Elephas maximus indicus: one gene and its partner. The protein of the gene in region 1 interacts with the protein of each later gene in a biochemical or structural test. Links are inferred from orthologs where the notes say so. Each region holds a gene or a part of one and is shown on either strand. Other genes may lie near its edges.

Region 1 (3,745 bases):
ATGTTGGAGAATAAGGAAAGTGATTGGAGAGGTAGGGAGAGTTCATTAATAAGCTTGCACTTTATTCTGAAAGGATAAAGGGAGGCCATTTACATTTTAACCAAGGGAATGATCCATTTAGATATGCGTTTATAAATAGATCACTTGGCAGCTGAGGGTGTTGAGATTATCGGAATAGTGCACACGGCGGAGCTCAGCTGAGACAAACCGGGCGGAAGCACGGAGTGGAGAGGAGCGAGAGGCTGGAGAGGCTTCGAAGTCAGGTACCGAGCCAAACTGTCACAAAAATAAGCAGAAACTGACGCAGCCCCAGGAACAGCTGCTAGCGGGGAAGAGGAGGTTGGTCAACGCGCCGCGGGAGCCGCCCAGGCCTCCCGGCGCCGAGGGCGGGACCAGGGCACGCACAGCGGGATGACGCAGGGCCCAGGCCGGCCTTGTTCTGGCCGCCGCCGCCGCCGCGCTGAGGCGGAGTAGGATGAGGCCCGCGGTCGGGGCTTCGGCGTCGGCGGGGACAGCAGCAGCTGAGGCAGCAGCTGAGGCAGCCGTGACGGCCGCGCCCCCCCCTCCTGACCTGGATTAGGCCCAGCAGCTCCGTGGCCGCCGCCGCCCCGCGGGGGGGCGGGGTGGGGAAGTGCCCCGTCTCCCCGCCCCCCCCAACACCGCCTGGCAGGAGGCAACCGTCGCGACCCCAGTGGAGCCCGCGGCCCAGGCTTGAGCCCCCACCCCCGGGGGCTGGCATGAGCGGCCCCTCGGCGGCGCCGGGGGGCGGGGGAGCCGCTGCCGCCTGAGCTCCGGCCTGCCGCCCGACCCCACCTCGCCGACCGAGGCTGACCGCGGAGCGTGCAGACGGCCCCGCCACTCCTTTCTTCCTCCCCCAGATTACACACCCCAGCCCCGGAAGATGGGGAACTGTCTCAAATCCCCCACCTCGGATGACATCTCCCTGCTTCACGAGTCTCAGTCCGACCGGGCTAGCTTTGGTGAGGGGACGGAGCCGGATCAGGAGCCGCCGCCGCCATATCAGGTAGGGGAGGTTGTGTGTTCGAGAAAGCGGGGGGGGGAGGGGGGGAGGGGGGGGGAGGGGCGGGGGGCGAGGATCAGGCAGGTCTGGCCGAGATTTGAGGGGGCTTCAGGACCATCACTGCCCCTAGCCCCGGCTAGGCCTGGTTGGGGCTGTTTGCTATTCTGGGGCTGAGTCTTAAGGGTGATTGCCCTCCACTCCCAGAATAGGGGTGATCCTTCACCTCCCCTCTGGCACCGTGTAGGGGTGGTGCTCTCTGTCCTTGCGTTCTGGGAGCGAGTTTGCGGTCATATCCCTTTGGCAAGAGTCTGGTGATTAGTTTGTGAAGTTTTGGAGTGACATTATTTTCCTGCCTTTATGTCTGAATCCAAAAGTCGGAGTTGTGGGGTTGGGGGTAATTTCCTCATCGTACCGCCAGCTGGATTATGGGTTCTGGATAAGTAAGTGGTTACCTCCCACCAACTCCATTTGTATTTTCATGTGTGATCATCTTCCCCTCCCCCCTCCTACCCCCACCCCTCCTTCTGTCTGTGTTAATTGGATCTGGTGGGTGTTCATTTCTCCCTCTACTTGGGAGAGGATCTCCAACTGGTGATTTTAGTCCCAGCGACATTGAGTTACTTGTTTATATGTATGTATATATTTGTTGATTTTTTTTTAACCCCACCTCACTTTTGCTCCACCCCTATGACACACCTTATAAAATGTGCTGACTTAATAAAACTTGATTAGCTTCAGAACTTTGGAAACCTTTAAACCTGACTTGGGAAATACCTTCTGTTAGTTGTGATTCTCTCTGTATCAAAGGCTTTCTCCTAAATAGGTTTCATTGCGTTTTGTACAGCAACCTGCAGGCCCAGATGTGTTTACAGAGTTAATAAGAAACTAAAACAGGAAACTCAAAATAGAATATGCAGATGTTAATAATCCATCATACATATACACCCCTTTTCTTCTGCGTTTCCAATTTTAAATGATGTTGAATAAAAACTTTTTTCCCAGAAGGGCTTGAATATTTAGTCCTTAGTTTTTTCCTGAAGGGAGTTTAGTTTTTCTAACTGGGCGGTCTCCTTTGTTGTTTCATGTGGTGACATCATTATCTAGTGTTCTTTTTTCATTCCTGTGTAAACTTGTGTCTCATCACACAAGAAAAACCTGATCACATATGCTGGTTTTCTGAGTAAAACCCTTCAGAGACCTTTCATATCTATCAATCAAGCCCAGTCTTATTGTGGCATACAGATTCCCCCATGACTTATCTCTCACATTCTGTATTCCAGGCCTGCCAAGTACACCAGGCTGTTCACACCTCTCTACCCCCGCCCCCCCCCCAAGGTCTGCCAGGTGAACATCTGATTCCCTTTGAGAACTCAGTTGTTAGGTCCACATATCTGAAGCTTTTCCTGATATTCCCCTACCTCTATCCCTGAATCCATCACTCTCATTTGTGTCCCCTTGTGCGCATCTGTAAGCACTACCTGTAACATTTTAGTGAATGTTCTTGTTTAGTTAGATGAATGTCACATCCTTGAGGAGTTCCCTCCTCCCCCAGTATAAGCTGCATGAAGGTAGACCGTGTGTCTTCCTGTTTGCTGCTGAATCCGCAGCGTCTGGCACATAGTATTCAGTAACTGGGATAAATGAATATACCCCTTGAGAACAGGAACTGTGACTCCAATATTTTGCACATTTTCTGCCACATAAGAAGCACTTAAATGTTGAATGAATTAATGAATTTAAATTCAGTATCATGTTTTCTACATTTACACACCCATTTCCCCAAAGAATTGTCACAGTGGTAATCTTTTAAAAATGCAGGCCACATCTGGACGTCTTTCCGAACAAATATCTTTTGAGTGAAGCAAGTAACCTGTGTTTATACTTGCCTTTGTCACCCCCCCATATATATGTTTGTGTGTGCATATATATATATGTAATTCATTTCCATTTCAGGAGAGACAGTTTTTTAGAGATGTGAACTTTTATTTCAGAGTTCCCCCTTTTGTGTTCTCTAGCCTGTTTCCAGGCAAGTTGAATGTCTTGACTTGTTGCCCTCTCTCCTATCCTTATGGTAATTACGGTATTAAGGAGTATTTCTTTAGAATTTATGGAAATAATATAGTATTTGCCCTAACCAGAAGGACTAGATGATAATGATGGTTTTTTGGTATCACAAAGGAACAGTTTTTGAAACATGTTATTTCTGACAGTGGGTATTTTCTTGTGGTTACCCTTTCCTGAAGTGAATGATATGCAAATTTAGTATCATTTGGAAGAAAATAATTACTTTAAAAGGTGGGAGCGTAAAAAGAGAAACTTGTGCAAAAAATGTCCCCCGAAGGAAATAATATTTCTTAGGAATGGTTAATTTACATGATCTAAGAAACACCAAATAAAATATTTTTGGTAAATGATTTATAATGTTTTCATTGGATCTAAGTAATGTATTTTTGTAAAAGAATTAGTATATAATTAACAGCTACAGGAATATAGGCTTATTTTTTAAGAAATTGTTAGCTGCAATGGGATTTTTTTTTTTTTTAGTAAAGAATAGCTGATTATAAAGAAACACATGTTGTTTTTCTGTAGTGAGTAGTTATGTAATAAGTAATTAAAGGATGTCTTTGGTGTTGTTTTTGTTGCACAATGTATGTATATGCCAAGAGCTCTGTAGGGTAAACTTTTCTAAGTTCCAGTTATTCCCTTTTAACAGTATCTGACAGA
Region 2 (3,745 bases), about 960 kb from region 1:
AGGACAGACTAGAACTGCCCCATAGAGTTTCCAAGGAGCGCCTGGAGGACTTGAACTGCCGACCTCTTGGTTAGCAGCTGTAGCACTTAACGACTACGCCACCAGGGTTTCCAGATTAGGGATAGAAGCCTTAAATAGAGATCTAGCATGTTCCACTCAATTAACAACACCTGTCCGACCCTGCCTTGTAACAGTTAATTAAACATGTCCTGCTTCCACAATTACCTAATTGCTAGCAGAGCCCTTGGTCATTATTGTGTTTCCCAGAACACCTAAGGCAGCACCTAGCACTTAATAGATAAAAATTTATAAAAAATCTTTTGCAGTTTACAAAACTTTTTCAGACACATCACTTGATGTATTCACCCTGAAAGTCTTGCAAGATAAGTATAACAACCATCTTCATTTCATAGGCAATGACATTGAGGTCCAGGGAGATTAACTGCCAAGGTAAGTGACCAAGTGTCTTTCTATAACACCACATTTACCACAGTAGGCCGTCAATAAATGTTTGTTGATCAAATCAACTGTCCCTCAAAATATCGTTATTTTTCTTTCTAAGATTATAGCACCATTATCTGTTGTCACAAGAAATGAATGTAATGCCATTTAAAATTGATAGCTTTGTTAGAAAACAGAGATGGTTGTTTCAGCTCCACAAGGCTAGTTAACTTTAAACTCCATTATCAGTGACTCTCAAAGTTTAGTAGAACTAAGAATCAGGAAGCTTGATAAAATGAAGACCCTTGGGCTACCATCGTCCCTAGAAATTCTGATTCAAGGGCCAGGAATTCGCATATCTTAATACACACTCTCAGCTGATGCTAACGTTGGAGGTCTTCAGAAACACACTGAGAATTGAATCAAACTTTTTAAAACCTAAGTTCGACTAACGAATATAAATTTTAATCAAACCAATTTTTTACAGTTAGAAATATTTAAACAAAATTTTACGAAAATAATACAGGGCTACATTACCTAACTCAGTAAAAAAAAATTTTTTTTTTTAATAGGTCCTCAAAATCTGTTTAGCACACTGAACCTCCCTAGACTTCAGGAGCTCCTTCTGCTGCACGAGAAATGAGGAGTCTTTGAGGTAGTTACCCGTGTTAATCCAAGTTTTATTTGATGAATTCAACCATGGTTGCAGTGTAATTTAGTAAAACATTTTTAGGTGTTATCAAAATGGCTGGGTTTTAAACAGTAAAACAGAACTGTAAGTTAACTTTGAACCTAATACCCAGAAATCATAATTAAAAATCACCATCAGTACAAGCCCACTTTAAACTTTGAATGACCCTCAAAATGTACTAACTGCGGGATTATGGCTGATTTCTCGTCCATTATTAATTTTTATTCCTTGAAAGCCCACAAGTACCTTTCTTTAAATTTTGCACATTAAGAATATTTTTTCATGTTATAAGTTTTAAAAGCACCGACTTAATCCTACAAGCTTCACACACGTAACAGGAAGACAAGAATAACCTGTAACCGTATTTATTATAAACCATAAACATCCAAATATCTGATTTATGGTATCAAACTGTAATCAACTTTTTTTTACATTAATACCAGAACAGATCATTTTTGCTCTAACATGGTATTCCATTTTCATCAGTACTTTTTCTAATAACAGTATGATTTTTAGAAAAATCCTCTTGTTTATCCTTTCTCTGGATCTATTATGGTGGAACATTTTTGTACCGTGGACTGAAACATTACAAAATTTCTTATTCTGGGAAGGGGAGAAAGACAGACCTTTGTAAAAAGAGATATTTTTATAATTACCGAGTATTTATATAGGAAACAACATCGCAAAAGCTGGGATGGGGCTTTCTCCAAGGCAGACCGCGCTTACAAGAGTCAAGATGTAATACAAGAAGGCAGGGATAAGCTACCGGCAGGTGATGACATTTCACCTCAAATAAGACGCAAAGGGTTTTTCTCAAGCAAGTCAGATCCGGAAATGACACTCCAGGAGCACCAGGGCCTCTCAGAGCCCCCCACTCTCCGCACCCCAATTCTCATCTCCTTCCCTCCCCCCCCCCCCCCCCCGCGGGACGTTGCGGGACTCGGTGTGGGGAGCGAGCAGCCAAGGCTGTTTGCAAACAGCCGTCCTCTGCCTCCCTCTGGGATGTACGTACAGGGCCCGGGGTAAGAGGCTGCGCTCGCCCCGCGCCCAGGCAAACCCAAAGGGCTCCCGCGCCCCCGCTCGCCCCCAGCCCCACACGCCTGGCCGCGCCGGAACGGAGGCCGGGGCTGGGGCTTCTCGGCGGCTTGGGGCCTAGTCGCCCCCCTCCCCCCGCCCCAGCGCCTCCAGCCTCCCAGGGAACGCGGGGGGAGAGGAAGGGCTGAGGCCCCAGAACCGCGGGATGGGGGAGGCGGCCGCAGCGGTAGGACGCCCGGTCCGCCCGGCCCGAGGGCGGTCGCCGGGGCCCCCGCGGGCAGCGGGAGGCTGACGAGCCCGACCCGCGTCGCGCCGCACTCACCTCGAGCAGCGGCCGCCGCCTCAGCATGGCCGGGGGGGTTGTCCCTGAGCTGGCAGCCTCCTCCGGAGGGCACCGGCGCGGCCCCAGGCGCCGCCGCGGAGCCTCCCACTCCTGAAGGGGCTGTGGCCGCCGCTGCTGCTGGGGCCCAGAGCCCGCCGAGCCGCATCGGGCTCTCGGGCCGCCGCAGCCACGCGGATCCCGGAGGAGCGTCGCTGAGCCGGGCCGGGGGCGCAAGGCTGCGGTGGGACGAGCGAGGCGCTGCGCGCGAGGATCCTCCGCGAAGCCTCCAGCGTAGTCGCGGCCGCTCCTGCTGCCTGCGCCGCCGGCGCCGCTGGGCCACAGCGCCCCCTGGACCCCACGCCTGGCTACGGCGCTGGGACTGCGGAGGCCGCGCGGGGCGCGAGCGGGCGGGAGGACGGCCTGGGGGAGACTGGAGCCCCGCGCTCCTCGCGCAGCTCTCGCCCCGGGAGACGCCTCCCGGGGAACGGAAACCCCTTGGTCCCCACCGCCCCTAGTCCTCAGGCCCCAACATCTTTTCTTTCTCTCGGTAAGGTGCGTGAATGTTCCTGTCACTCGGTTCTGCACCTGAGGGCAGGAGTGTGAGGGCATCTCCTCGTTTTCATCTCGCAGGACTCGAGGGGATCCCTTCAAATCCCAACACTGTGTTTGGGTGAAAGAAGAGTGACCCAGAACAAACCATTTTTCAAACACACACACATGCGCGCACGCACGCGCGCGCACACATACATGCACACCTTTCCCAAAACAGAGGGACTTGTCTTTGACCTTAACTTTTGGGGGGCTCTACTGTTCACATCATAACAGAATCTTCCTACAGTTGCCAAACTTTTAGCCCCCATCCCCCGAAAAAACAAAAAAAGGGGGGGGGAATGTCAAGCAAGAGAATACCCAACGTATTGTCCTGAAATTCATAAACAACTTAGAAGTAAAACGAAGAAAAACCAGCCTTACATCCCACCCCCTGCAAATCCTAGGTAAGGCTCTAAAGGAAGGAAGTTGTTTTTTAGTGGGAGCTGCGGAGTCTTTGGTTTACAGGTAACCCACATTCACTCTCACTTAACCACTAGGGTGCAAACGTCAGAACCAAAAACAAAAAGGATGTCAGACGGGAAGTAGGGAGAGAAATTCTCCAAATCCTCTGGTCCCCAAATTTTCTGGATACAGTATTTTATCACAGAGTGGTATAGTAGAATGAACAGGAACTTTGGTGTCAGACAAATCGTGATACTATTTCC

What was found.
Region 2: the proteins of RNF11 (region 1) and ZFYVE9 form a complex in vitro, tested with the Homo sapiens proteins (2 studies listed by BioGRID). The link is inferred for Elephas maximus indicus from reciprocal best matches to the Homo sapiens genes RNF11 and ZFYVE9.

What each region holds. Positions count from the first base shown.
Region 1 is NC_064821.1:94,258,021-94,261,765, forward strand, and holds the start of RNF11 (RING finger protein 11), read left to right. Parts: upstream 1-826; 5' UTR 827-901; coding exon 902-1,024; intron 1,025-3,745. UniProt on the Homo sapiens protein: Essential component of a ubiquitin-editing protein complex, comprising also TNFAIP3, ITCH and TAX1BP1, that ensures the transient nature of inflammatory signaling pathways. Promotes the association of TNFAIP3 to RIPK1 after TNF stimulation.
Region 2 is NC_064821.1:95,222,392-95,226,136, reverse strand, and holds the start of ZFYVE9 (zinc finger FYVE domain-containing protein 9), read right to left. Parts: upstream 2,815-3,745; 5' UTR 2,490-2,814; intron 1-2,489. UniProt on the Homo sapiens protein: Early endosomal protein that functions to recruit SMAD2/SMAD3 to intracellular membranes and to the TGF-beta receptor.